Linked DNA regions of Struthio camelus. The protein of the gene in region 4 purifies or fractionates together with the protein of the main gene of each other region. This does not show direct contact. Links are inferred from orthologs where the notes say so. Each region holds a gene or a part of one and is shown on either strand. Other genes may lie near its edges. The genes, in order: LUC7L3, CLASRP, TJP2 and SRPK2.

The links.
Region 1: the proteins of SRPK2 (region 4) and LUC7L3 purify together in Homo sapiens (affinity purification with mass spectrometry; 3 studies listed by BioGRID and IntAct, with this or other methods). This does not show direct contact. The link is inferred for Struthio camelus from reciprocal best matches to the Homo sapiens genes SRPK2 and LUC7L3.
Region 2: the proteins of SRPK2 (region 4) and CLASRP purify together in Homo sapiens (affinity purification with mass spectrometry; 3 studies listed by BioGRID and IntAct, with this or other methods). This does not show direct contact. The link is inferred for Struthio camelus from reciprocal best matches to the Homo sapiens genes SRPK2 and CLASRP.
Region 3: the proteins of SRPK2 (region 4) and TJP2 purify together in Homo sapiens (affinity purification with mass spectrometry; 3 studies listed by BioGRID and IntAct, with this or other methods). This does not show direct contact. The link is inferred for Struthio camelus from reciprocal best matches to the Homo sapiens genes SRPK2 and TJP2.

The regions. Positions count from the first base shown.
Region 1 is NC_090960.1:7,424,640-7,432,265, forward strand, and holds the start of LUC7L3 (luc7-like protein 3), read right to left. Parts: upstream 3,258-7,626; 5' UTR 2,960-3,257; coding exon 2,861-2,959; intron 1-2,860. Other genes in the region: ANKRD40 (ankyrin repeat domain-containing protein 40), read left to right, coding at 6,002-6,135. UniProt on the Homo sapiens protein: Binds cAMP regulatory element DNA sequence. May play a role in RNA splicing.
Region 2 is NC_090957.1:1,329,535-1,336,699, forward strand, and holds the start of CLASRP (CLK4-associating serine/arginine rich protein), read right to left. Parts: upstream 3,211-7,165; 5' UTR 3,092-3,210; intron 1,353-3,091; 5' UTR 1,231-1,352; coding exon 1,132-1,230; intron 641-1,131; coding exon 543-640; intron 1-542. UniProt on the Homo sapiens protein: Probably functions as an alternative splicing regulator. May regulate the mRNA splicing of genes such as CLK1. May act by regulating members of the CLK kinase family.
Region 3 is NC_090982.1:25,650,565-25,657,939, reverse strand, and holds the start of TJP2 (tight junction protein ZO-2), read right to left. Parts: upstream 3,273-7,375; coding exon 3,160-3,272; intron 1-3,159. UniProt on the Homo sapiens protein: Plays a role in tight junctions and adherens junctions. Acts as a positive regulator of RANKL-induced osteoclast differentiation, potentially via mediating downstream transcriptional activity.
Region 4 is NC_090942.1:15,421,319-15,428,589, forward strand, and holds the start of SRPK2 (SRSF protein kinase 2), read right to left. Parts: upstream 3,211-7,271; 5' UTR 3,156-3,210; coding exon of another isoform or gene 3,140-3,155; intron 3,022-3,139; coding exon of another isoform or gene 2,937-3,021; intron 2,423-2,936; exon of another isoform or gene 1,451-2,422; intron 1-1,450. UniProt on the Homo sapiens protein: Serine/arginine-rich protein-specific kinase which specifically phosphorylates its substrates at serine residues located in regions rich in arginine/serine dipeptides, known as RS domains and is involved in the phosphorylation of SR splicing factors and the regulation of splicing.

The DNA.
Region 1 (7,626 bases), on a different chromosome or scaffold from region 4:
ACATCGCAGTAAGCAGAAAGTAGATTAAAATATGCAAGATCTAATTAATATTTCCTGCTGCATACAAAAACCCTTTATGCCAAACCTAAAGCTGATCATCCAAGATATATCGCAAGACTGAAACATACAGCGACTGGGATTTCAATTTTTTATGATTATAAGCTTTACTCATGTCAAAATTCTAAGGTAAAAACTTAAGCTATACAACAGGCTTTACAATACATGATGATCATCACACTTTTCATTACAACTGCGAATAAACGCTCAGCTATCATACACGCTGCTTCCACAGCTTCACAAAAGCCTATTTCTGTTGTGCATTTCACACCATCTTCCACAGAAGTTGTGACATCTACCTAAATGTAATTTACAAATGATAAATAGAAATTATAACCTTCCACATCTAAAATTTATGAAATCTTGATAAAATCTTAAATTTTGGAATGAGAATACAACAGGCTCACATTGAAAAAGGCTTTGTGTTGATAACAGGTATAATTTCACAAGTAACAACACTTATGTACATGTTTAACCAGAAAAACAAAACAATAAACAGGCAAACTAATGTTGCTAGCTGAACCTTATCTGCATTTCCTGACTTCTAAAATAAGTCAGCATTACTAACAAAACCCTTATTAAACCGATGCACAAATTTAAGCTGAAAGTAAAATACATTTCTGTGTTTTAACACGGGAAAGGTTTTGTTCTGAACTAGCCCACTGACTATAGGGATTTATGATAACATCCCTTTCAGAAAGGTTGCATTTAATGATGCTCATATAAACTTCATTAAAAAAAAAGAAGCAAACTCGGAACGAACACAGCAACATTTCCTCTTAGGCTGAAGGATCAACTCTAAGCCCCTACTGGCCTCAACAAGGACAGGGACAGCTCTCCCCTTTCTAAATCATCAAGGGAGGACTGAGAAGAAGAAACAAGGCACTGTTTCTGAAACAACAAAACTGAACAGCATCTTAGAGATGGATTTCTATGGTTTTGAGTCACACATTTTAAAAGAGTTTATTTTTCAATTTTAGGCTAAGGATTAAGTCATCTTAACTTGATTAAAGAGAAGGAGGCAAAAAATTCTTTCTCATCTTCAGAAATAAAACGAGAAACCCCTTATCTCCTCTACCTGCACGGACATGCCCGAAGCCATTTACTTCCTATTTCCAGGGTTAACCAACTCCTTTCCTTTTAGAGCTCAGAAAATGTGTAACTGAACACCTATCTGAACAATCACACTTGATTAAGTCAGGAAAAAAAAAAAAAACATTATTTCATTAATAAAACTTCCTGAGCTCAATTTCTCCTGATGCGTATAGCTTACCTCTATAACAGCATTTTTCAAGGAGAATTAAAAATTGCTTGGATTTACAAAAGTCTAGCAAGACAGGTATTTGTCCTTACATGTTGTTTTTGAGACAAATTAAAACTTGGTTTAGCCAGCTCTAAAATAAAGTAACTCTTGTTTGAAAATGGGAAATTCCCAACTTGGTGATTCAGACACAACTTTAAAAAGCCAAAAGCAAACATTTCTCCTGCCTCCCAACTTAACAACATGAAAAAAATGCTAAGGGGGGAGGAACACCACACATTTAAACTAAATGCTTTCTGCAGCTTTAACCACAACAACTTCGACCACACAAAAGATAAGTGAACTGTCTTATCTGAACTGGGACTCTCTCTTTCTTTTAAAATACAGCACAGCACAAAAATACATCACGACAGGGGGAAGGGAGTAGAGGGAAGTGTTTCAGAGTTTTCAAGTCACCCAAAGGGGCAGCTATGGCAACTTTGTTATTACTACTGATTTTTTTGTGAAATAAGTTCTAATACCAACCACAATGGATGTCGCTAGAAGCTAATATCCACTAAGATTTAACCACACGTGGGGAGAAACCTCACTCCAAAATAATATAAGAAAATCCTCTTCTTTTTGAGCAGTTTAAAGCAGAAGATGGATGTTATCACCCCATTGACAAAAAATTCTCAAGTACTACAAAAATAACAGCAATACTGTTTAGGTTTAGCCCTCCCACCCGGAAGTGCAGTAGGTAAGCTTTGGGAAAGTACAGAAGCAATCAAGTTTTTTACTTTGAAAAATCTTCAGCTGCAAAAGTCTTCTGGATCGTCACTGCGCTACAACCTTCACAGTTAAGTTAGCATGAATGTATTCTTCCGTTTCCTCCAATACCACAGTTAGGAAGAGATCCAGAGAAAACTTGTCTTTCAAACCGCTAACACCTGTCTTATCTCCCCTCATGCAAGCCAGCAGGCTCCAAGAAATTCTTGCTTCTACTACAGCTTCCCACAGTTCCCCCCTCCCCCCCCGGGAGATTTCAGCCATCGGCAGGCCTCTCGGAAACCCTTACTACCATTTGTCGACGCGACAGGGAGCGCACGCCAAGGCGAACACAGCCTCTCCCCCTTACGCTGAAACCCAAACACAAGGCCTCTCTCCTCCCATCAGCCCTGATAACAACGCAAGCCCTCTCGCACAGCTAAGCCATGGCGGGATCCTCCTCCCTCCCGGCCACCCAGTTCCTCCTCCTCGTCGGGCAGGCTCAGCGAGCTTCCCGCGCAACGGCGCGGGCCTAGGCCGCCCCGCGGCCGCCATGCAGGAGCCCCGCGGCCTCGGGGCGGGAGCCTCGCACGACGGGCTCCACCGGCGCCTCGGCCCTCTCCTCTCGCTAAACCTCCGCGGATCCTCCCCCGCCGAGACCCCGGCGCCCCCTCGCTCCCCCTCCGCGGGCCCCCACCCGCGGTGCGTGTCGCGCCGACAAGACCCAGGCCCTCGGCCGGAGGGGGGGGGGGGGACCAGGGGAGGGAGGGGGAGAGGCGGCTCCGCTTCACTCACGCTCTCATGGTCCCACCGCACGTTGCTGCGCTTCTCATCCGGGGCCAGGTTTCTATCCCGGCCCATAAGCTCATCTAGGAGCTGGGCGGCCGATATCATGGTGTCTTCCTGGCCGAATACCTCCCCGCCGGGCTCCGCCGCTGCCGCCGCCTCTCCTCCCCGACTCGACCGCGCCGCCGCTGGAGTGACAGAGACAAAATGGCGGCGCCGCTCCTCGCCCTGCCCACAATGCACCGCGCGCCTGCTAACCGCCTCTGGGGCCTGGCGGGGGCCGCCGCCGCCTCGCGATGGCGGCGGGGACGGGCCGCGGCGGCGCTGCCCCGCGGTCGGCGGCTTCGCCGGGGGGGCGTCCCTCGCAGCCGGGACGTGGCCAGGCTGGGAGCCGGGGCCTTTCCTGAGGGCCCCGGGCACGGTATTCCCGCCGGGAGCGCCCCTCCGGCCGGCGGGGAGGGCACGGGGCCTCACAGCTGACCAAAACCTTCCTCGCCCCGGTACCGGTCGGTTATGTCTTGTCCCGTCATGGACGGAGACTAACTGATGAGCGTTCACTTTATTCAGTCATCTTGCAGATTTCAAGACGCGTGTCTCCTTAAATAAACCCAGTTCGTTTTAATTTTTTTCTCATGGGTCTTTGGTTTGGTTTTTTTTTTTTAAAACAACTCTTCTAATTTTTATTACCTGTTTTTGGGGTTCCCTCCCGTTCGTCTATAGCAGTCTGAAAGCGTGGATTTATTCCAGCTTCCCGGCTTGGTTACTGCACAAACGCAGGAAGGGTCTCCTCAGTTTTTTGCATTTTTTAATAGCTTTTTTTTTTAACGGTGCACCGATACGCAGTTTGTAGCCCCGTGTAATTTCTCTGGTATTAACGCCCAACCAGCTTCTGCTCATTTTTGGATGTATTTTTCTTTTTTTGCCTAGGTGTGGCTCTGGGCCTTGTCCTTACTGAATTTTACCTTACTGATTCTAAAGCATTTTCCAAGTCCTCAGAATCATTCTGACTGCCCAAAGTATGCCAAATTATTTAGTACCGCCAGACGAGGACAGTCCCCTTTCGTACCTCAGTTAATGCAATCCCTGCCAACTCCTCTCTTGAATATGCTTTTTTCGAATGCCTGCTAGTCGGTTTTGTAGAAATTTCTTTTGTACTGTCAGTCGTTAACTTGCTAATGAGAATATTAGTGCTGTGGACTATGGCCGAACATCTACCATTGGCACTCCTGCAGCTTTGCTCTTATCCTCTATACCAATTTTCCTGCCAAGTAAGAAAATTATAGTAGCTCAGTCTGCCTACCCTTGACAAATCCATTTTTTTCCCCTATAACTATTATCCTCTACCTGCTTATAGATCATTTAGTCATTCATTCCCAGCATTTTTCCACATGTAAAAATTATGAACCGTGACCATACTGATACTCCTGAAGCGTAGCGAAACGGACCTAACAAGGACTGGGTTTTTAATCAAGTTTTTAATCAGAGATATTCCCCTCTATTCACAGTATAAGAGAAACATCTATGTTTCTCTCCCTTACTTTGTCATTTCCTGTTGGGCTCATTTTAGAACCAATATCATGCTGCTTTATCTTGTAATAAAAAGAGGGTTCTAGTGGCCTGGGAAGGGCTTGGCCACGGGTGAGCGCGCTCACGCTGGGCATCTTGGTGCTTTCAGAGGTTTGGTATAGTTTCGCAGATAATGGACGTTTTCAGGTACCCGAAAAATCTAGTACGTTAACATTTTGTGTTTGTTTGGATTTAAATTTCCTCTGTGCTACTAGTCTATATTTCCATCATTTATACTGGAAGAAGTAAAAAAGACAAGGAATAATTAAGTAGTATGAATGTTAGTTTAAAAATCTTGAACTTGGTTGCTTTTTTTTTTTTTTTAAGAGTTTGAAGTCTGTATTAGCGCTGACCTTGTAAAAAAACACAGAATTCATGGCTGGTCTTGCTCAGACCTCTGCTGCAATCACTGAAGGCTTCACGCAAACTCACGGGTTGTCCATAGAGTTTCTGTTCAGAACTCTGTCCATAAAACTTCCATATCCAGCACTGTAAGGCACTACATTTTTTTTTTTTAATCTTTGCAATTTCATAGTGATTTAATTACCCATTTGAATTGTTGTAAGTAAGAGTGTAGCTGAAATCAGTGCGACCCCACTTACACGTATCTTAAATCTTAAAAATTCTACAGTTTGGGGTTTTGAGGGGGATGGAAGGTGGATGTTTGCTTTAGAAAAGGGGGCCAGAGTTGTTCTGCGTTTCGGCTTTATATTGCTCCCATAGCATCAAAACACCAGCCAGGTACCCTGGCTGCTGAACTGGGATCAGCCTAACCATTGCAAATTTCCCCAGAGTGCGCTCCTAGAGCATACTAGACTAGAAATGGTGTAGTTTCGTTAGATGTCTGGCTGGAGACAGAAATGATTCTTTTGAGTTTTTATAATTGTGAAATTTTTACTAGCTCTTCGCTCTTCCGTAACTTAGCTTAGGACAAATCAACAGTGATCAAAATCAACTTTTTAAAGCAAATACGGTGAATTACAGGAACTGCCTGTAATCTTTGCAAATGCTTTGCAGGTAGCCTTGGAGTTATTAAGGGCTTAATTAATTGCAACGCGAATTCTCAGCGATGATGAGAATTTCCTAGACAGAGCAGTCGTGCGATTCTGGAGCCTGTAAGCACAAGCAACAGAGCAGGAGATGCTGTGCGTTATACAGCTGCCTGTACATTAAATAATAGTTTGGTACTTTAAAATTGCCACGTACCCGTATGTGGCTAATAAATCATCCCGACTGTAAAATCGCAGCAGCCATGACTCGCACGCAAGGCTGTTCGTAGGAACTAAATATCTAGGTCAGAGTTGTCACAGATAATAGAGTCCCCCTGGAAGAGTTTAGGAAAGGGGGATGCTCCGGACACCCTGCAAGCGTGTTTGTTATAATGTCCTTTGGCAGTAGGTCCCTGGGCTTGATTTAAGGCTAGCACACAGAAAGTCACTCTGCATCCAAATTTAAAACCGACAAAGGGCACGAGACACTTTGTGCTTGCGGAGCTGCCCGGTCTGCGAGGTTGGCAGCATGAGAGATCGCCCCGGTTAGAGCGCTCCTCCACCAGACCCGCGTCTGGTCCGAGGCTCCAGCAAGATGACAGCCCTGGTAGAGGAGAAGGAGCTGCAGGAGAGACTGAGAGAGGCGGCGGCGCTGGGGGACGCGGAGGAAGTTCAGCGGCTGGTGGAACTGGGGGTGAACCTGAACTCCCAGAATGACATCAACGGCTGGTAAGGCTGCCGAGCGGGAGCCGGAGCGGGTCGTCTCCAGGACGAGTGGAACCGAGGGCTCCTGAGGCTGTAGAGATGAGTTTGTTTACCCTTTTTGTTTTGTTTTTGACTAGGCATACGCTACTGCGGATTTTTTTCTCTTTCAGCTGAAATACGCGCATCATGACCGGTGTGAATTTGGGATGAAATTAAAAATGTGCTTCTTCAACGCCTTGCCAAATGCTCTTCCCTATAGCTACCTCTCACTACGCCAAAAAGGAAAAAAAATACTGCTGGAGCTGATAATTGCTTTATAAATTTGCACTCTCGTCCCACCCGCTATTTTTGTTCCTTTGGTGTTTGATCCTTCTTCAGGTCGTTGTTACTTTATATTGTTTATTTTTTTGGAAAGGGAATGCTGGCAGCCTAAGACAGCACCGTAACATAGCTATCAAAAAATAAACCTCAGCTTGCCAAGATATATTAATTTATAACCGGACTTAATTCGTGCTAACTTCCAAATCAGGCTCTAAAGTGACTGCACTTTCATCAGCAAACTTGCAGGCTGTTTCGGTGATGTCCCTAAAATACTTTTAGTTCTGACATCTCATTCAAATACCACCTAGTGACACTAAAACGAAGTCCTTTTGGTAATAATACGCGTTTGTGCAGGCGGGACTATATACGTGAATGAACACGCACACGGTACCATTTGAAGCGGGAGCTGCAGGGAACGCTCAGGCGTTTTTGAAGGCTGTTTTCCTCAAGTTGAATTCAGTGTGTATTTACCATGCTGTACTGCGCTTGAGGTTTTAATTAAAAATAGGAAGAACAAAATTAGGAAAGAAGCTGCTATTCTAAAGATTAGAGCGCCAGTAGTAGTCGTCAGCAGCATGGAACGCTTGCAACTTGCGGTTCAAATTGTGATTAAAATCAGAGCTTGTAATAACTTCTGCAAAGTGATTCCTAAGAGCATAAATTATATTCATGTGCAAGAGAAGTAGTTGCTGGCCATCCAAATGAGTTTCTATCTAAAACTGGCATTGATGGAAGAAACAATAAATTAAAAAAAAAAAAAAGAATTATTTTCAGAAATAACGATCTGGTCATTTTTGACTATGACAGTAAATGGATCTTCACTGTTATTTAGGTTTGCTTGTAGAATTTAAATCGCTGGAATGACCTTTTCCATGAGTCTGATGCTCGGGGGTGCTGGATACGTGCGTTTTGGTGTGTGTTGGATCTGGGGGGGTAGCTGGTACCTCTCCGCATGAGACCTTGCTAAAGCCACGTGCGATGGTCAGAACGAATTCCAAAATGAGGCAGCGCCGCTGAGGCTCGCGTATCTTCTGAGCAAACTAAACCCTCGAGTTTTACACGCGTGCAGGGTCCCGCTGAAGTCTCTGGCGTTCAGTATAGAGGAAATAGTGTGTAATTCTCAATGGAGCATCCTCGTTTAAGCAGGGAAAGCAAACATCCCCGCGCTGCCTGCGTGTTCTCTCGCTGCTTTGG
Region 2 (7,165 bases), on a different chromosome or scaffold from region 4:
ACACGCCAGGAAAAACGCCAGGAAGAGCAGGACCCTGGCCGGGATGCACACGAGCAGCGCAAGCCTGCACGCTCCCTCCCAGCGCCACAAACGAGCACACTCAGCTCCTGCTGCATTAGTCACTGCCTAACGAGGAGGGGGAACAAACTCATTAGCTGTGACAGTGTCTTCTAGAAGCTCTGCCGTAGGAGGAGCTGAGTCCTTCTCATCGCTTTGATGAAGGGAAATGGCCCAGATTTTATTTCCAGAGCTAACAACGAAGGAGGCAATCCTACTTGCTCGGCATCTCCGCTAGGGAAGCGCCAAGAGGAGCAAAGCACTTGGGAAAAGCAGGAACCACGAGCCAGCCAAAAAGCCTCTCTCTAAGGTCTGGCAGGAGATAAATTCAGTGCTCAAACAGGACCTGCGAGTCTCCTGCCAGCCAGGCTTGTTTTTTTAAAGACCCCTCAGCTGCACGAAGGGAAGGTGACAGCTCCAGGGAGCCGCTAACGCCCTCGCGAGCGGGGAGAGACCGTCTCTGCCCCCCGCATGCAGCTACTCACATGTTGACGGGGCTCTCGGCGGCGAGGGCGACGGCCGAGTCCAGGTGCACCTTGCAGGCCCGGCCGTGGACCTGGAGGAACTGGGCTGGGTCCTTTTTCTAAGGGGAGTAGAAAGGCCAAAGGTTTAGGGAAGAGGCATTTCCAAGGGGGGCAGTTCTGTCCGCATGGGGTCGAGGCAGGCAGAGAGGAGCAGGGCACCCGCCCGGGGGCGCCCACGGCGCTTCCTGCGGCTGGACAGTGACAGATGCCTGCAGAGAGGGCTGTGGCTCCGTCTTCCTCCCCTTTCCAGCCCCCAAAACCGCAGGAAAGCACCCACGCGATTCCCAAACACCAAAATCAGCACTTCCTACCCTCCACAGAGCAGCCTACCGGGGACTAAATCCTCCCCTGAGGCTCTTCTTCTTCCCTCAACCACAAGCAAAACTCTCTGCGAGACGATATTCCCAGCCTGGGACACGCACGGCCCCCCCAGCCTGCCCCAACCCCGCGAAGGAGCGGGAATGCTGCTGGACGAGGGACAAACGCCCAGTTTGCGGCGCACGGCTGGGCCGGGCCAGTGTCGGGCAGCCGCGAGCCCGGGGCGACTCACGATCTTCTCGTAGTACTCGCGGCGGCGCTCCGCTCGCTTCTTGTAATCCACCATCATCCCCCGGAGCTTGCGCTCGTGCTTGCGGGCCTCGTGCCACATCGCGCTGTCCCCGAGCTGTCAAGGAGCGGCGTGGCGACGAGGAGACGGCGCCGGCAGAGAGGCGGGCGGGTGGTTTTCGGCACGGCGGCGGACGCACCGGCGGGGACGGCCACTTCCCCTGTCTGGTGCCGGAGGCCCGTTAGGTGGCCCAGAGCCATCGCGGGGCCGCGGCCACCCGGAAAGGGGGGACATGGGCCACCCCCTTGGAAGGGGTGAGGGGTAAGGGAGGGGGGACCAGGGCTCAGGGGGACACTGGGGAAGGGAGGGGCCCCTGGGTGCCCCTTGGCAGAGGTGACAAGAAAGGGGATGGGACGAGAGCTGAGGAGACAGTGATGGGGAGGGGGAAATGGGGGTTTTGGGCGGGGGAAGGACACCAGGCATCTCCGCCGGGGAAGGGACTGGGGAGGGGGAAAAGGGGACTGGGACCCCCCCGGGGAAGGGACCGGCGGGGGGGGGGGAGGGAAACAGAGACCGGGACCCCCCCAGGGGAAAGGACTGGCGGCGGGGAGGGGGGGAGGGAAAAGGGGACCGGGACCCCCCCCCCCAGGGGAACGGGCCGGCAGGGAGGGGAGGGAAACAGGGACCGGGACCCCCCCCCCCGGGGAAGGGGCCGGCAGGGAGGGGAGGGAAACGGAGACCGGGACCCCCCTGGGGAAGGGACTGGCGTGGAGGGGGGGGGAGGGAAAAGGGGACCGGAAACCCCCCCCCGGGGAAGGAACCGGCGGGGGGGGGGGGAGGGAAACGGGGACCGGGACCCCCCCCCCCGCAGGGGAAGGGGCCAGCAGGGAGGGAAGGGAAACGGGGACCGGGACCCCCCCAGGGGAAAGGACTGGCGGCGGGGAGGGGGGGAGGGAAAAGGGGACCGGGAACCCCTCCCCGGGGAAGGGAACAGCGAGAAGGGGGGGAGGAAAAAGGGGACCGGGACCCCCCCCGAAGAAAGCACCGGCGGAGGGGGGGGGGAGACGGGGACTGAGACCCCCCCGGGGAAGGAACCGGCGGGGAGGGGAGGGAAACGGGGACCGGGACCCCCCCGGGGAAGGGACTGGCGTGGAGGGGGAGGGAGGGAAAAGGGGACCGAAAACCCCCCCCCGGGGAAGGAACCGGCGGGGGGGGGGAGGGAAACGGGGACTGGGACCCCCCCAGGGGAAAGGACTGGCGGGGAGGGGGGGAGGAAAAAGGGGACCGGGACCCCCCCCCCGAAGAAAGCACCGGCGGAGGGGGGGGGAGACGGGGACTGGGACCCCCCCGGGGAAGGAACCGGCGGGGAGGGGAGGGAAACGGGGACCGGGACCCCCCCGGGGAAGGGACTGGCGTGGAGGGGGAGGGAGGGAAAAGGGGACCGAAAACCCCCCCCCGGGGAAGGAACCGGCGGGGGGGGGGAGGGAAACGGGGACTGGGACCCCCCCAGGGGAAAGGACTGGCGGGGAGGGGGGGAGGAAAAAGGGGACCGGGACCCCCCCCCCGAAGAAAGCACCGGCGGAGGGGGGGGGAGACGGGGACTGGGACCCCCCCGGGGAAGGAACCGGCGGGGAGGGAGGGAAACGGGGACCAGGACACCCCCCCTCGAAGAAAGCACCGGCGGGGGGGGGGGGGGAAAGGACAGACGGTGACACCGCTCAACCTAGGGGAACAACCGGGGGGGGGGGGGGGAACCACAAGGCCCCAGGCCAACACCCCGGCCAGGCCGCGCCGCGCACACCCCCCCCCCGGTGCCCTCCGCTGCTGCCGCCACGGGTGGGGCGGCGGCGGCGGCGGGGGGGGGCAGCTCGGTGGCCCCGGGGGCGGATTGCGGACGGGGCCGGGCCGGGGAGGGAGGAGGGGAAGGGAAGGGGGCGGCCCCGCGCCGCCATTAGTCACTCACCACCGGGCCCGCGGCCATGGACCGACCCGGAAGCGGAAGCGCGGGAGGGGGCGGGGCTGGGGGAAACAGGAAGAGGGAGAGAACGGCGGCGCGTGGGGAGGGGTGGGTCACGTGGTGGGGGAGGAGCCAATGGGAGAGCCGGAGAGGGGCGAGGCCTGCGGGGGGGCACCACGCCCTAGCTGGGCGGGGTCTAGCGCGGGGAGGGGGAGGCGGGGATATGGCAGGGGGGCGGGGCCTGGCTCGGCTGCACCAGTTGGGACTGGGCCGGGCCGGTCCCAGTTTGGGGGCCCTGGTTGGGGGGTGGGGGAACTGGGCCGGGCCGGTCCCAGTTTGGGGGCCCTGGTTGGGGGGTGGGGGAACTGGGCCGGGCCGGTCCCAGTTTGGGGGCCCTGGTTGGGGGGTGGGGGAACTGGGCCGGGCCGGTCCCAGTTTGGGGGCCCTGGTTGGGGGGTGGGGGAACTGGGCCGGGCCGGTCCCAGTTTGGGGGCCCTGGTGGGGTGGGGGAACTGGGCCGGGCCAGTCCCAGTTTGGGGGCCCTGGTGGGGTGGGGGAACTGGGCCGGGCCGGTCCCAGTTTGGGGGCCCTGGTGGGGTGGGGGAACTGGGCTGGGCTGGTCCCAGTTTGGGGGCCCTGGTTGGGGGGGGAACTGGGCCCGGCCGGTCCCAGTTTGGGGGCCCTGGTGGGGTGGGGGAACTGGGCCGGGCCGGTCCCAGTCTGGGGGCCCTGTGGTGGTGGGGAGAACTGGACTGGTCCAGTCCCAGTCTGGGGGCCCTGGTGAGGGGGGACTGGGTTGGACCAGTCCCAGTCTGGGGACCCTGGGGGCTCGCACAAACTCACACGGGGCTCCACGGGCTCGTACGCATGCATGCCAAGCTCTTACGGACCCACACCAGGACCTGCGGGCTCCTACAGGCCTGAACGATGCCCTAGGGACTCATATGGGCCCGCACTGAACTCGTATGGGCCTGTGCTAGGCCATACAGGCTTGTATGGCCCCGTACCAGGTTCTACGGACTTGTTTGGGCCTGCATGAGGCTCTACGGGCTCGTATGGACCCTCGTGGAGCTTGTATGGGCCCACACCAAGGTCTATGGGCTCATACGGGCCTGTGGTGGGCTCTATGGGCTTGTATGGGCCCACACTGAGCTTGTACGGGCCTGCTTTAGGCCCTACAGGTTCATACGCGCCCGTGCCAGCCTCTATGGGCTTGTACGGTATGCCATGGGGATCCATGGGCTTGTACGGTCCTGCACTGAGCTCATATGGGTCTGCAGCAAGGCCTACAGGCTTGTACGGGCCCACACCATGCTCTGCAGCCTAGTATGGGTCCACTCCGAGCTGGTATGAGCCCGCGCCTGCTTCTATGCTCTCGGATGGGCCCTTGCTGGGCTTTACAAGCTTGTACAGGCCTCCACAGGGCTCCACAGGATGGTATGGGCCCACACAGAGCTCATATGGGCCCGTGCCAGACTCTACAGGCTTGTACAGACCCCCCACAGGACTCCATGGGCTCGTACAGACCTGTGCTGAGCTTGATGTGGGCTCATGCCAGGCACTACGGGCTCGTATGGGTCAGTGCTAGGCTCTACAGGCCTGTATGAGATGGCACAGGGCTCTACAGGCTTGTACAGATCTCTGCTGAGATCGTAGGCACTCATGCCTGCCCCTAATGGTTTATATGGAAACAAGCAAAGCTCATATGTGTCTGAATCGAGGAGCCCTTGCCGAGCTTGTACAGGCCCGTGGCGGCCTCTGCAGGCTCATGGGGGCTTGACCCGAGCTCTACGGCCTTCGAGGAGCCCTTGCCCAGCTCGTAGACGCCCATGGCGGCCTCTGCGGGCACGTGGGTGCCTGCCCCGAGCTCTACAGCCTTCGAGGAGCCCTTCCCCAGCTCATAGATGCCCGTGGTGGCCTCTGTGGGCTCGTGGGGGACCGCTCCGAGCTCTACGGCCTTCGAGGAGCCCTTGCCGAGCTCGTAGAGGCCCGTGGTGGCCTCTGCGGGCTCGTGGGAGACAGCCCCGAGCTCTACAGCCTTCGAGGAGCCCTTGCCCAGCTCATAGATGCCCATGGCGGCCTCTGCGGGCTCGTGGGAGCCCGCCGCGAGCTCTACGGCCTTCGCGGAGCCCTTGCCGAGATCGTAGATGCCCGTGGCGGCCTCTGCGGGCTCGTGGGGGCCCGCCCCGAGTTCTACGGCCTTTGAGGAGCCCTTGCCAAGCTCGTAGAGGCCTGTGGCGACCTCTGCGGGCTCGTGGGGGCCTGCCCTGAGCTCTACGGCCTTCGAGGAGCCCTTGCTGAGCTCGTAGAGGCCCGTGGTGGCCTCTGCGGGCTTGTGGGGGCCTGCCCCGAACTCTACGGCCTTCCAGGAGCACTTGCGGAGATCGTAGTCGCCCGTGGCGGCCTCTGTGGGCTCATGGGGGCCTGTCCCGAGCTCTACGGCCTTCGAGGAGCCCTTGCCCAGCTGGTAGAGTTCCGTGGCAGCCTCTGCGGGCTTGTGGGGGCCTGCCCCGAGCTCTACGGCCTTCGAGGAGCCCTTGCCAAGCTCATAGATGCCCGTGGTGGCCTCTGCGGGCTCGTTGGGTTCCTGCCCCAAGCTCTACAGCCTTCGAGGAGCCCTTGCACAGCTCATAGAGTCCCGTGGTGGCCTCTGCAGGCTTGTGGGTGCCCGCCCCGAGCTCTACGGCCTTCAAGGAGCCCTTGCCCAGCTCATACACGCCCGTGGCATTCTCTGCAGGCTCGTGGGTGCCCGCCCCGAGCTCTACGGCCTTTGAGGAGCCCTTGCTGAGCTCGTAGAGGCTCATGGTGGCCTCTGTGGGCTCATGGGGGCCTGCCCCGAGCTCTACGGCCTTTGAGGAGCCCTTGCCCAGCTCGTAGATGCCCGTGGCGGCCTCTGTGGGCTCATGGGGGCCCGTCCCGAGCTCTACGGCCTTTGAGGAGCCCTTGCCCAGCTCGTAGATGCCCGTGGTGGCCTCTGCGGGCTCGTGGGTGCCCACCCCGAGCTCTACGGCCTTCGAGGAGCCCTTGCCGCGATCTTGTAGATGCCCGTGGGGGCCTGTGCGGGCTTGTGGGGGCCCGCCCCGAGCTCTACGGCCTTCGAGGAGCCCTTGCCCAGCTCGTAGAGGCCCGTGGCAGCCTCTGTGGGCTCGTGGGGGCCTGCCCCGAGCTCTACGGCCTTCGAGGAGCCCTTGCCCAGCTCGTAGTCGCCCGTGGCGGCCTCTGTGGGCTCGTGGGGGCCCGCCCCGAGCTCTACGGCCTTCGAGGAGCCCTTGCCAAGCTCGTAGAGGCCCGTGGCGGCCTCTGTGGGCTCGTGGGGGCCTGCCCCAAGCTCTACAGCCTTCGAGGAGCCCTTGCCCAGCTTGTAGAGGCCCGTGGTGGCCTCTGTGGGCTCGTGGGGGCCTGCCCCAAGCTCTACAGCCTTCGAGGAGCCCTTGCCCAGCTCGTAGATGCCCGTGGCAGTCTCTGTGGGCTTGTGGGTGCCCGCCCCGAGCTCTACGGCCTTCAAGGAGCCCTTGCCCAGCTCGTAGACGCCCGTGGCATTCTCTGCAGGCTCGTGGGTGCCCGCCCCGATCTCTATGGCCTTTGAGGAGGCCTTGCCGAGCTCGTAGAGGCTCATGGTGGCCTCTGTGGGCTCATGGGGGCCTGCCCCGAGCTCTACGGCCTTCGAGGAGCCCTTGCCCAGCTCGTAGATGCCCGTGGCGGCCTCTGCGGGCTCATGGGGGCCCGCCCCGAGCTCTACGGCCTTCGAGGAGCCCTTGCCCAGCTGGTAGAGTTCCGTGGCAGCCTCTGCGGGCTTGTGGGGACCCGCCCTGAGCTCTACGGCCTTCGAGGAGCCTTTGCCAAGCTCATAGAGGCCCGTGGTGGCCTCTGTGGGCTCATATCAGCCCCATGCTCTACGGCCTTCGAGGAGCCCATGCCAAGCTCATAGATGCCCGTGGTGGCCTCTGCGGGCTCATATCAGCCCCATGCTCTACGGCCTTCCAGGAGCCCTTGCCCAGCTCGTAGATGCCCGTGGTGTCCTCTGCGGGCTCGTGGGGGCCCACCCCGAGCTCTATGGCCTTCCAGGATCCCTTGCCAAGC
Region 3 (7,375 bases), on a different chromosome or scaffold from region 4:
TTCCTTTCTTTGAAGAAAGGAGAAACTTTTCTAGGGAGATCTGGCAATATCTTATTCATACTCGTAACAGCTTTGTTTTGTTTGTTTGTTTGTCTTTTCCTCTCAACTTATACATTCTTCTGGTTAATAACTTACAGCTACTTCTAGTTAGCAGAAGTCATAAGAAAGAGATAGCAAAAGAATTTTGCAGAACTTGTTCAATTACAGAACTTGTACAATTACTTGTTCAATCTACAAGTCTACACTCCATTTTATAGACGTGCCTCACGTGTGGCACCCACTTTTCCCTGAGTACGTCCATAATGAAGTCCGAGATTGAGAAAAGGAAGTTTAAAAGGTCTAAGGCATTACAAAAAATCATTTGGTCTCGGATGAACTTCTTAAGCCTCACAAATGCAGGCAGCTCCTGCCAATCACTTTGAGAAGACAAAAGATGTTCATTTTCATTCTCTGCTGACTCCTTCCTCCACAAATGCATCTTTCCAAAAGTAAGGCTCTACTAGTTCAAACAGACAGAAACTTAAGCATGAATTTCCACCGTCTTCAAAGAGCAGCAAAAGCTATGCATTATGAGCAAACATCGACTTCATTGTTCCAGGTTGTGTGCAGAGTAATAGTGTCTTTTCCAGAAAACAGCAGGAAAGTTATACAAGAAAGCTAAAACCAAAATACCATTGCTGTCATCATTTTGATTCCCTGTGAAGATGCGAACAGTTTCAAAGAATCCATCTGCCACAGAAATCGCGTAATTATTCCAAGTGAAATGGAAAAATATGCTTTATAATGACTTTCCTACGGAAACGAAAATGAACACCTTAGCAAAATAACACGCTTTTCTTCCTTGCCCTCTCTCACACCTTAGTCTGGGTTACTGTCAGTATTTTCACACCTCTCAAGTGATGGCACGGGAGTTGACATCCCACTTTAATGCTGATTTTCTTTCATTCTATGAGATGGTTGAGAGAAGCATAGGAAGAATTTAACTTAAGCATGCATTTGAATTTGTGCAGTGAGGAGGAGCCAGATACACTTTACATTCTGTACTAGCTTTTAGAAAATGCGCCATGATGGAAATTGGGGGAAAAAATAGCTAGTTTAAAAATGTTATTCAATTTGATTGGATTCTTTTTTATATGAACCTGATAGAGTACCACCAGAGGCTGAGTGACAAGCAGATATTAGCCAAGTGAGTTATAAATTTGCTTATTCCAATTGCACAGATCACAGTCCGCAGCTGCAAACAGAACAGCGCTCTTTTCTTCAAACCATGGTTCACTTCATGGCAATTGTTAGCTCCCAACCCTTAGTGCTCGGAAAGATCTAATAAAAGGATATAAGGGGTCCCTAATGAAGTCCAATGACAAAAGCTTTTCTACTTCTGTTGAATTGTCAGAATGGCAATTCTGTAATTCAAATACATTTTAAGAAGTTAAAATTCCAAGTGTGTACAACAATTACATCACTCGAAACCCCTCTATGAAAGAAGGGAGACGCCTGATTAATAACACTGGAAAGAAAAACAAGTATTAACAAGGCAGTATGTTTTGCATTTGGGTATTGACTAACACTCACTCGTAGATGAAAGCTTATCATTCAGACATTTAAGTAGTAAAGCAAAAAAGAAGGGATGCTAAAGTTAATAAGTTTCATTTTTAAATGGTTTGTTTCAAGTTGCTCCTCTAGCCAAACAAATCTACTTGAAGCACAAAGAGAAATTTTGTAAGAATGTGTCATTACATTCTAACACCGTTCCTCCAAGGATCAAGAGCCATCATGTAACTTTTTATCAACATGTAAAGAACGGCTGCAAGATTCAGAGAGATTGGCATGCAGATAACTCACATTAAACAATCAGAGGAAGTCAGAGTCAAGAGAACATGGGAAAGAAGTGTCTACAATGCATTGTACTAAGGATGCCTTCAAATGAGCACATTTTAACAAAAAAGCCAAAAAGCACTCCTCAGTGCAATACCAGCACACTAGGATCAACTTGAAGAATTTTTGTGTCAATGAAGAGGGTGGAAAATCTTAGCATCCAGTATTTTGTCATTTAGGTGAAGCAACTAAAAATCATATGGGTGCTTTATTTGAATTGGTATTACTGTTGATACCACTATTAGCAGAGGGGTTCTTGCAGAAAAATCATGAGCAAAATTAGAGTTCAGGTGATAGCATTTTTACTCCAAGATTTTCTTTGAAAATTTTCTCACACAAAACTAATCACAACCAGTACAAACTTATCTAACCATTAGTCTTCAACAAGTTTCTCAGATTTTATGTTCCTCTGCCATGTCTTAAACAACAGTACAACATTCTAATGCAAAACAAGAACAGGAGAGACTAGAAAGGCTATGAGGATATGCACCCACTGACGCTACTTACATAGAATGAGCAGATGGGAAAGAAGGACAATCCCTCTTCTCACATACACACTCTATGAGCACAGGAGTTTTTAAGACGATCACTTTTAGAGGGAAACTGAGTTACGAACGAACGAATTTTCTGAAGTCCAACATTCAAGTTAGGGGGTACAAGAAAGCACTCTGAATTGTTTTTAACCAGAACAGAATGCTCCCAATTTCATAGTCTGAACGCTTAAAAATCCTAATTGTTTTCTCTATTAATTGCTGCATATTTCCTTTATGAAAACAGTACTCCTAAATATGAGGAAATTTTGCTTTCTATTAGAAAAAGAAAGTGGGATACAAGCAAAAAAGTGGGTTTTTTTTTCTGCTTTTAGAAGCTGCTAGTTCTCCCATAGATAATAATTAAAATATGCACATTCTAACAAGGAGGGGGGGAACCCACACATACACATGCAGCAGGAGTAAGCATTAATACAAAATGACTATCTCGTTTTCATTGCAATAAGTATGCTCCTGTTTATCCTTTCTACTCTTTGAGCAAACTTTTAATTTAGAAATTATGCCTCTTTCTAATTGTCCTGGTAGCCAAGGACAGTAAATGCACAGAAATCTCTAATGAAACCACAGAGTTTAACTGCAACTGCAGAAGATACACTGCTTGGAAGGCAGACAAAAGATTACTTGTTTTTATGAATGACTCTTTCCTTTTCTCATAGAAGCGTTCAAATTGTATTCTTCAAGGTTAACACAGGTTTTCCCACAGTTACTCATTTATCTCGTTTGTAACACTTACCTGGGATGTTGCCAAAGGTTTGCATGTCTACCTTCAGGAAGCAGTTCCCTTTTGTTAAGGGGAGTTATGCCTATTGCTGCTTCTAAGATAGTTATATATTTCTTGTACCGCATCCTGCCTCTCTCAAGAGTTCCACCACGCTAAGTTGTCATCCAAACGCAGTCATGCTTCTGCACTTGTCTGAACGGTTGCTTTTCAAAACATACTGCAGGTTTCAAGCATAAAAATAATGCCTTCCCCCCCTCTACTAGGCATGGAGAGTTAGTCTGGGAGAGAAACCAAAGAAAAACTCCTGCCAGATTCCCCTGAAACGTCATTGTTACATAATTTGATCTTTGAGTAAGACACTAATGAAAATGATTGAAGAGACAATCACGGTTCTAAGCCTGGCCGGATAATGCACACTCTCCAATTTACTAATCCTTGGCTAAATCTCTGATGTTTATAATCTTTCAAGTACTAATGGAGCGCTAGGTAACTTCTCTCTCAGATCAACTGAGGGAATGAGATCTGCACAGAAAAGTTGAGAATTTTTTTTTACATACTCTGAAAGGTAATAATGGCTTTTGCTTCAACTTTTCTCCGTAGCACCAGGATTTATCTGTGATCTGAGCAGGAGAGGCATGGAGAAACATTCCCTTACTTCACTTACACAGAATTAAGCAAGATAAAGACTTCATTATGATACCTACTAGTCATACAAATGTGCCTCACACAACGCCAGAAGCCACTTTCCGTGTCAAAACTGTTCCAGCCATGACGTAAGTAATTGTGCATGCCAATGACCTCAGGTACTAACTACAAGCGTGGAGACAGATGTACAAGTTGAAGTAATAGTGGCATTTTAGATATGCTGCAGCACTGCCAAACTACAGTATTAAGAGAGACTTGCTTGACTGCAAAAAAGATTAACAAAGGAAATGTTGTAATGCTACATAGATAGTAAGATACTAACTATGAAAGTTTATATATAATTTTATATATACTATTTCTATTGTTGTATAGGTTATTTTATATAAACATGCAAAAAGAACAGACGGGACGGGAAGCATTTATCCTAAAGACCTGGCCAAAAACCCCTCTGCAAACTGCGTATTTTAACTATTCTCTAGTAGTAAAATGCCTATATTTCTGCTGAGGTGACTTTGTATAGAATGTTACATATTTTGAAACCTTTAAGATGGAAACTACAACTTCTAAACTTATACTGTAAAATATTCAGCCCTACACAATGAATTCTTGTACAGTTATTTCCAGTCCCTGTATTATTCACTCTTCTGTATTACTTACGCCCTACCTGGCACTCAATATATTAAGTTACATTGTAACTTAAGTTCACTTACACAAAATATGCACACACTGAACCATCTCAAGTGAATTATTAAATCTGCTCAACTGACTTTAAAATAGCAATATAAAATTAAGCAGTTTACAGATTCAAGAAATAAAACGACAAATAACTGACAAAAGGAAATCTGCAGTTTATACCTATCTAGTTGTACATAGATATGTAAGGAATACGTAATCTGGAAATTTGAGATGTATTAGGAAATCACAGAGTCACAGAATGGCCAAGGTTGCAAGGGACCTCTGGAGATCACCTAGTCCAACCCCCCTGCTCAAGCAGGGTCCTCTAGAGCACAGTGCACAAGATATCCAGGCTGGTTTTGAATATCTCCAGCGAAGGAGACTCCACCACCTCTCTGGGCAACCTGTGCCAGTGCTCCGTCACCCTCACAGCAAAGAAGTTTTGCCTCATGTTCAGACGGAACTGCCTGTGGTTCAGTTTGTGCCCATTGCCTCTTGTCCTGTTGCTGGGCACCACTGAAAAGAGTATGGCTTTCACCCTCCCTTCAGATACTTGTACACGTTGATGAGATCGCCTCTCAGTCTTCTCTTCTCCAGGCTGAACAGCCCCAGCTCTCTCTGCCTTTCCTCACAGGAGAGATGATGCTCCAGTCCCCTCATCATCTTAGTGGCCCTCCGCTGGACTCTCTCCAGGAGTGCCATGTCTCTCTTGTACTGGGCAGCCCAGAATTGGACACAGCACTCCAGGTGAGGCCTCACCAGGGCTGAGGAGAGGGGCAGGATCACCTCCCTCCACCTGCTGGCAATGCTCTCCCTAACGCACCCCAGGATCCCATTGGCCTTCTTGACCACACGGGCACATTGCTGCCTCATGCCCAGCTTGCTGTCCACCAGCACTCCCAGGTCCTTCTCTGCAGAGCTGCTCTCCAGCAGGTCAACCCCCAGCCTGTCCTGGGGCATGGGGTTATTGCTGCCAAGGTGCAGGACCCTGCCCTTGCCTATGCTGAACTCCATGAGGCTCCTCTCCTCCCAGCTCTCCAGCCTGTCCACGTCCCTCGGAATGGCAGCACAGCCCCCTGGTGTGTCAGCCACTCCTCCCAGTTTAGTGTCATCAGCCAACTTGCTGAGGGTGCACTCTGTGCCTTCCTCCAGGTCACCGATGAATGCATTGAACAAGACTGGGCCCAGCACTGACCCCTGGGGGACACCGCGAGCTACAGGCCTCCCACTGGACTCTCCACCGCTGACCACAGCCCTCCGAGCTCTGCCGTCCAGCCAGTTCTCAACCCACCTCACCGTCCACTCATCCAGCCCACACTTCCTGAGTTTACCTACGAGCATGTGATGGGAGACAGTGTCAAAACCCTTCAGGAAAGCAGCTAATGTATTAAAAACATAGAAATAAAGTGAAGCTAAGTATTACTTTCGCAAGACCAAGGAAAAAAAAAAAGCTACAATACTACAATTTCAAACATCTGCATACAAAGTAGTAAGAACCTTGGGAAAGTGAAATACTAGTAGCAGTCTGTAAGCACAGCTAATGTCATCAGGCCTGCATGCATCCTGACTTTTGAGAGCGTTAGCAGCCCTATTGTGCAGGCAGTATTGACTAGCAGTTTGTTGACTATTTCAGTTTTTAAACACCTTCTGAATGTAGTAATTCATGATAATAGTCAGTCCTGCTTAATCAGAGAAACATTTTGATGAAATCCAATCTGCCTTTTAAGTTAGTTTTGTTTTCAATGTTATCACAATTTCTCATACGTTTTGGCACTTCTTTCCACCATCACCACCCCTTCACCTTTTTTAACCTTACATTTTTCCCTTAGAGATATGAGGAACAGATTCTTCCTTACAAACACTTCCCAATAGCATGCTTAGAACTATGATTCTGAAAAAAGTGAAAAAATTGTTTAGTGTAGCTCTAATTAATCTGTTATTTGCTTGAGTAAAGCCAAATAACTCTGACTAGAATAGGAGCCCCGTGACCAGCCTTGTACACAGAGAGCTCACAAACAAACTCATACAGTAAGCATAAGTCACTCCCAAGCACTCCTCTTAGCTAGCTTGTTCATGAATCTTAGATATGCAGAGGGAGTAAGACTGACTCACAAGTTATCAATTTCCTTCAACTTTGTTTGAAAACAGAAACTCAAAGCTATTAGTACATCCATTGTTTGCCCTGAAAAAACTATCCCTCAGTAACAAAGGGTCTAAAATACATCTACGTTCATTGTTTCCTGTTGAGGAATATCATCCACTCCCCTTCTAACTTTGTGTTTTTCAGGCAGAAAGAACACCAAGTTTTAATGGAAAGAGCACAGATCAACTGGGAACATACAAGTGAACAAACATAATCTAATAATTAATCTGTTAAAGAAAAACACTTGTGTCAGCTTCGGGAACTTGTGGTCCTCAACCATGCTCATGAAGAGAACAGCAATGGACAGCCTGAATTTTAGCAAAAAGAAATCTTTGCTTTTTCACCATACTTGTGTTCTCTGCTCAGCTTCTCCTTACAAGTCTGCCATGTTGATTACTTCTCAGTTTTCAAAATAAAGAAAATGAGGTAACATGTATTTCTATCAAATTGATATAATGCATTGTGGCAATATATCAAAAGACTTGGAAGGTACGCTGGCTGTAGGGAAAGAGAACCCTGTGAGAACTGAAAGCTTTTTTTACGTCTGTTTCAAAGTCTCTTACTCTATTCTGTGCTTTCTTAGCTGAAAGAGAGAGAAAAAAAAATCAGTCTTGTGACAATGATTTCAATGCAAATAAAATTCTATAAGTGATATTTGCAAAAGCAGTTCAGAAATTATATTATTCTCATTCATTCTATACAAATTCTAGACTGTTGCAGTAGATGGTTTGGCAAGTGAGAAGTAATTCAGGGAAAGGGGAAAGA
Region 4 (7,271 bases):
TCAACACTGAGCAGTCACAGGACTGATCTCACAGCCTTTCATGGCAATTAAGGTCATAACAGACAAAAAGCTATTCAGAAGGAAAGAGCACTGCATTTTTTTTTCTTCTTGTGTCATCATCTTAATACTGTTCAAACAAAAGCCTGCAAGTTACAATGCAATGTAACCCTCCTAGCCAATTCTAGAAGAGTCCTGCAGTTCTTCGAAGCACATTGTTGCCAGCAACAATGGAAGTTGCTCTGTAAAGCTATGACTCAACAGACAAGGGTCTTCCTACAAGCTACAGGGAAAAAAAAAAAGCTTTGGATTCAAAACTGTGAAACAAGATCTTATGTTGTAGAACTTCCGCTCCTTAAATCAACATTTTCATTTGCAACTACTGCATATTTAACGTGCATCACAGATGATATACAGTTCTATAACATACTAGCATATGCTGTAGCAGTTGGATTTAAAGCAAGGCTGGAAACAGCAGAAAAAAAGGGCTACTTCTGCTGAGGTTATTTTCTAAAATAATGTCCAATACTAGTTTTGGCCCACAAAGTAAAGCTATTTAACCATATGCAAGGAGATGTAAAATTTTGAAAGAGTTACCCAAGAAGTATAAAAAGGTCTAGATAGCATAAAAGGGGGTTGAAGAGAAAAGAATAATATGTAGTAGCAAAGAAACGATGGCGCCATTGTCTACGGCAGCAAAACCACTGTTTCCCGAGGGCAACTGAACAGATTGGGCCATTGCATCTGGAAATGCCGACTCAGTATGGCAAAAAGCCAGCTACTGACTGTGCACCCTGACTTAACAGTAGCCAGTTTCTTCAGCAAACTGGAAGAGAATACCAGTTTTGTGTCTGTTAAAGCAAACTTCTAACGACCTCATTCAGCAAGACATCCCAAGGCAACCCTGGTTAGAAACATATCGAACACTCTATCATATAACTGAAACAGTAAGGTATTAATAATCTTGTGGTTAAGATTCAACTGAAAGCTACAAATACAATTCAGAATCTAGAGTTATAATAAAATCTGAGATTTTTCTGTTTTCAAAGTGGCTAAACACATCCACGCAATATTACAAACTGACTTTCTGAAGGCTTTTGGAAACAATGGAACTAATCTAATCATACTGTGCATCTTGTATGCAAAATTTGTTTCCTTCACAATAGTAACAAATTCATATAACTGAAAGCACAACTGAAAGCACAACAAAGCTTTCATACAACACTGGAGGAAACAGCAGTAGCAGGCAGGGTGTGGATGAAAGTTAACTGTCAAAATCTGATGACGACCACCATAGAATTTCATTTCATCCTATATTATTTTTACATACCTCAAGGGGGGGGGGGGAATCTTATTACCAAAAAAAAAAAAAAAACCCCACACAGGACAGAGGGAGAGGAGTGCTTTTATTTCTTTCTACAGAAATCAAAAAGAAGAAAAAATCACCCCTGGAATAATTTATTGTGACACATAACAACATCTTTACCCCATCACCTATAAATACACATCTGTCCATCATGTCCAGCTTCCTAGATTTAAGACTGGCAGACTAAGAAGACAGCGAGATGAGGAACATCTGTGGAACAAATCTCCCTGTCAGAGTAAAGTAGTCAGACTAGATCCCCAAGGTACAAAAACAAAGACAAGAGTCTAGATGAGGTATCATGGCAATAAAGTCTCACTGAACAGAACACAGTAAAAGTTAATGAAGGAAAAACACATAATCCTGTGAGAACAAAAAGTAAAGCAAGTCCAAGGCCACAGTGTCCTAATAAGGACTCCTAGGAAAACGCAGTTCAAGCATGAGCATACAGAGACGGGAAAACAAACGTTTCAGTGAAAATGGCTATTGTGAGAATGAGAAAAAACGAACAGGACAGTGACAAGATGATGAAGCGTTACCAGGAAAAAAAGAGGAAAAAACAGACAGTTATTAGAAGTCAGTTTCTGCAAGCCGGAAGAGATTTTAAAAAGACATGAAGTCACAGAGGGCAGGAGCGCTCACAGGAGAAAGAGCTTCACCTAGAAGAAGCACTAGCGGAAGAATTCCCAGGCAGTGAGATACATGTGGAAACAGGAAATAATCTCAAAGCACCAAGTAGAAAGTGTAGAACAGGAACGGTATATAGGGCTGTTAGGGGGATAACTAAGAAAAGGATTGTCTATAGACAGGACGATACCAGTAAAGCAAGAGAGAAATCACAGAACAAAAAGCACCACGAGAGAAGGAAGACCGCTAGGGCGAGAGAAGTCCAGGGGCAGTTTGAAAGGGACACGAGAGGTGATGGCGACAAAGACCAAGCCTGTGCACATCCCCGAACAAACGCAGGTTTCTCAGAAGCCCTAGGAGAAAAGTATCGCAGCGCTCTTGGGAAGAGGACACAGGAGTGCCTCAGAGCAGGTTTCCCTCGGGGCAGGAAGGCAGGTCTGTGCCAGCAGGGCGAGCCAGGGAGGCCTTCCCCGAGGGGGCCGAGCCGGGTGTCCCGCACACCCGACGGCGGGGGGGGCGGGGGGGGGGCGGCGCGCGGCGGCGCGGGGGGAGGGGTAACGGCCACAGGGCTTCTGTGGAGACGGAGCGGGGGGAGGGGGCGGCTCCGCCGGGAGAGCTGCCGCCTGTCTCGGCGGGGGGAACCAGCCGGGGGGGCGGTGGGGGGGGAAGCAAAACCTGAGAGACGTTACCGGGAAAGGGAGCGGGCGGGCAAAAAACGGGAGGGAAAGAAACCGCCGCCGGCGGGAGAAGCGTGAGCGGCGCGTGTCCCGCGGAGGGGGGGGGGGTGGGCTCGCCCCGCGGCGGCGGCGAGACAGGGATCCTAGCCGGGGGGGGGGGGCGGACAACGTTAACGGCGGCCGAGGGGAAGGCTCCGTCTGGGGAGGAGCGGGCGGGCGCTGAGCGGGTGGGGGAGGCTCCGTCCCGCCGGGTCCGGGCTCTCCGTACTCACTTTTTGTGCGGCGGCGGGTGCTTGTCCCTCCTGCCGGCCGCCGCGGGCTGCTTGGGCCGCCGCCTGCGGGCCTGCAGGGCCAGCACTGCGGGGAGAAGAGAAGGAGGAGAGCGCGGGGTTAGCGGCCGGCGCGCTGCGCTGCGCTGCGCTGCGCTGCCCTCCCCTCGCTCCCGCCCCGCGGGACCCGCCGGCCGGCCCGGTACCTTTGCGCGAGCTCATCGCCTCGCGCCGCGCCGCGCGCTCCTCCGCGCGCGCACCGCTCGCCCCGCCCCTCCCGCCGCGCCGCGTCCGCGCGCCGCCACCGCGCGCCAGCCGCGTCCGCGCGCCGGGCACCGGCCGGCAAAGCGGCGGCACCTCCCCCCCGCAAACCCTTCCCCGACCGGCTACTGCGCAGGCGCAGCTCTGCCGGCGGGGCCGCGGCCGGAAGGGCGGGGGCGGGGCGGCGGCAGGTGGCGGCGCGGGCCCGGCGGGAGCGCACCTGGCGGCCCGCAGCGCCCCCCGCCGCCGCCGCCGCCCCCCCCCCTTTCTGAGCGGGCGGGGCAGGTCGGTGCCGGGCCTGGGGCCGCCGGTGAACCCGCGGGCCCCGGGGCGCCTCTTGGCTGGCGCCCGGCGAGGACGAGGACCCGAGGCCTTTACCTGGCGTGACCGGCCCTTAACTTGGAACCTGTTGGGCTCCGTCGCGTCTCACCAAGCGATTCTGCAAGCAGTTCGCTGGGGGCTTATTTATGTAAAATACTACTCCCCTGTGTATTAAAATATATATATATATGTATATATTATATATACATATATATATATATATACAGAAAAGGGGGATGCATTCAAGCACGGGGTGATGACGCTCTTCCCCTTGGTCAGCCCAGCCTGCCGCCTCTGCCTGGGCTGTGCTGTTGCCCGAGGAGTGCAAGTGCTTTCCGCAGGAGAACGGCGCCCGGCGCTCAACTCCTCCTCGTACAAGAGCTTCTTCCCGCTCTTAACCTGGCTTTCCCACGCAATGAGAGTTATGCTGCCAGTTCCTGCTGAATAGCTGTCAAAGCCCCTAGCTGATTTCAATCCCGTTTGATAAGGTTTTCAAAGAAATTGTCTTCTTGGAGATTTTAGGAAATAGAGGACCTGATAAAGGGAAAAGATACTACTCGTACTTGCAGAGCAGGTACTCACACCTTGTACGTAAGGTTATACCGCTACCCACGGGGACATTCTTGCTCTCCCATCAACTGCTCTGCTTTTGCCCCTTACGTGGGCCCAGGCCCCTCACCGGGGTATCTGTGCGGTGAGTTCTACCACTTCAGTGAACCAAATGAAAACTAATTCTGCCAACCCCAAAAAATACTAGTTTGCAATTGGGATAGCAAGCTGATCCCCCCTCCCTCCCCCATTGCTGCGTAATTGCTCAGAGTGGACAAAAGAGAAGGAGAAAAGCCTAGTGGGAGCGGAAGTGTCGATCTGCCCTTTTGGCAGCCGCCTGAAGCTGGATCAGCTTTAGCTTATCACGAAACTGTAGGGTTACATGCCAGAACCAATTACCCTCATGACATAAAGCCAGAGAAATTAGATGTCCTTAATTCTGGTTCTAAGTTCGTTGATTGGCATCACTGACAGTTATTTAACTCTACTTTTTTTTTTTTCTCTCTGCAGATCGTAACAGAAATACAGTGTCTTGCTGCTCATGATACCAGGTTCTATTCAGATTTGGCCTAGTCATGACCTGTTGAAAATTGCCACTTCTTATTTGTGCTTTGCATTGCATAGCTACATTTGAATAGTGTTAGGATTTGGAGATTTTGTGTAGTCTATAAATTCTGCTTGATGCAGAAGATGATCTGGGCCATACTGAAAACTCCAGTCGTCTAGCTTCTCCTTTATCTCCGTGTAAGACTGGAATTCAAAGGCATAATGACAGAAAGGTAACAGTGGGCAGTTATTACATTTTGATGGCACACCTTCCTCCCTAAATGCCAAGAGAAAGAATCCACAAGGATGAAGATCTCAGAGGAGATGTGGTCAAGGTATGATGAGTGAAGGTAACGGGCAGCGATCACTAGTCTTATGTAATTGGATCATAAAGGTTTCAGCTAGACAGAATAATTGAATCCCTGGCTGCAGTCAGTTCAGCTTAGTAACAGGACAGGAACAGAAAGATAGCATCCATTCCTTCCTAGCAGGTTCCATATAAAGCCAGACAACTCAGACATACCACAATATATAATACTTTCTGTCCGACTGGAGAGCCTAACAGACAGAAAACAATAGGACCACAAAGCTCCTAAGCTACAACTGTCATGATGCACCACAGCTGCATTTCTAAATCAAAACAGTTTTTGTTTTGCATCCTCCATCATAGAAGATCACAGGAAAAAAAACATTTCCAGTAGAATCTATTATTGTGTAACATGTAATGTTAGCATGCTGCATGTCTCCCTTTCTGTGGTTAGTCCAGTTCAATATGATAGCACAGCAATGTAGTCAGTCCGATAGATCAGGCAACAGAAGGCTGTACTGAAATTGCGAAGGCTTTCTGCTCAGAAAATGTAGATGCATGAAAATTAATAGTATTTGAATGTTGAAAAGCAGATTACATATCTCCCCTTTTTGTCCAGGCTATTTTTAGCTTCATTGGTTCATTGTGCTGCTGCACAAATACTTGTGCCTCTATAGAAGATGCTAGAAACAAGCAGCGGTTGGTGGAGAAAATGGTGAGACTACTTTTTTCTTTTTCAGTGGCAGTGTTGGCTGAAAGCGATCTTGTAGCCATGGCTATGGAGTGGAAATCGTATCAGGGTCCCGAACGTCTTTTCAGCTACTCATGTGTAATTCTATTTACTTCAATAGGAGATTTGTATGTAGAACTGATTGGACAATTAGGTCTTAGATAACATCAGTGAGCTTTGCTTACGTCAACAGGGTTATAAATTTGCCAAATCTGGAGTCAGGAAGGAATTTCCCTCACAGGCAACATAATGTCAGCAACCTAATCAGGGTGAGGGAACAATCTGCTAGCGCCGAGGGAAGGAATTACGTTAGGATCAGGTGGGTGTATTCCACACAGTCAATATCTTTCCATTCCAATGGACATATATTTCTGGACTGTATTCTTCCTGCTTTTTCTTTTTTTTCAGAAGAGCCTCTTAGACGATGCTCACACAGAAGTGCAAAAAACTCACTGAGACTCCATATGTACGTATAGAGGCTTACCATGTGCAGTTAACTAAACTGGAGAGTAAATTAAGGTTAGTAGAAGCTAAACATATTTTGAAAACCAGGAAACTGTATTTCTCAGACTCTGAGAGTGTGGCTTATGCATATTCCTGGCTTATGCATATTCCAGAGGACCCAAGCAGGGAGTGAAAGTTCAGGGTCAAATATTTAATGGAATAATGTGAGGTATGTTAAACCACCTCATTTTATAGATTTGTGTATTTTTTCAGATTCATATTTCTTTAAAAATATGCTGTAATTCCCTTTGAGCTTGCAATTTGTGAAGCAATTCGAAAGAGAATGAAAGACTCAGGTTTTTGTCTTAATTATGAAAACCTTAGTAAAGGTACTTTCAGCGAAGGCAAACAAGCTGCTCACATGAATAAGGTTAATGTGATAAAGTATTCACTGGATCAGTCTACGTTTGACAAAAATAAAGAAGGGAGACTAAAGGGAAGGGACTCCATTTCAAAAAATACAGAGAGTGGTCATTAAGAATAAACGTACCCTGCATTATATCTATTCGAATTCACTCATTTCAGTGGAGTTCTCCATTCTTATTTCATTATGTCTTATTATATATATTATATATATACTTAACTGTTTCAAAAATCAACAATGAGTCAAGAGAGAGGATATCCTGAATAGTGAAAGAAGGCTTTTATAAATAAACAATATAAATTAAAGACAATGGACTGGGACAGAATGTATTTGGGTCTGGCTGTCTCTCCCTGAACATAATATTGGAACAGGTGCCTGTTTAATTATAAGGATTACCATAGAGCTCATTCACTCCGGGGAAGGGCACGGTGAGGTTTAGTCATATGACTGCCCCAACAGGAGGAACAACAGCAGCAGCAGCAGCAGCAGCAGCAGGTATAGATGATCTTCGGTACAAATATTAGGGGGGAGGCAGGAGAAAATGTCAAATTATGAGATTATATTTTTACCTGTTTATAATGTAGTTTGAACCAGACATTTGATACCTGCTAGATGTGTGCTTCGTTTCCTTTTCACCTAACTTTAAAACACTTCACTTATACAAAGAGGCATTCAATTTTCAGACATGAGTGAAATACATTTGTACAGAATAAAAAAATAACCTAGCAGCAATCCTATAAATATCATATTGTCTGC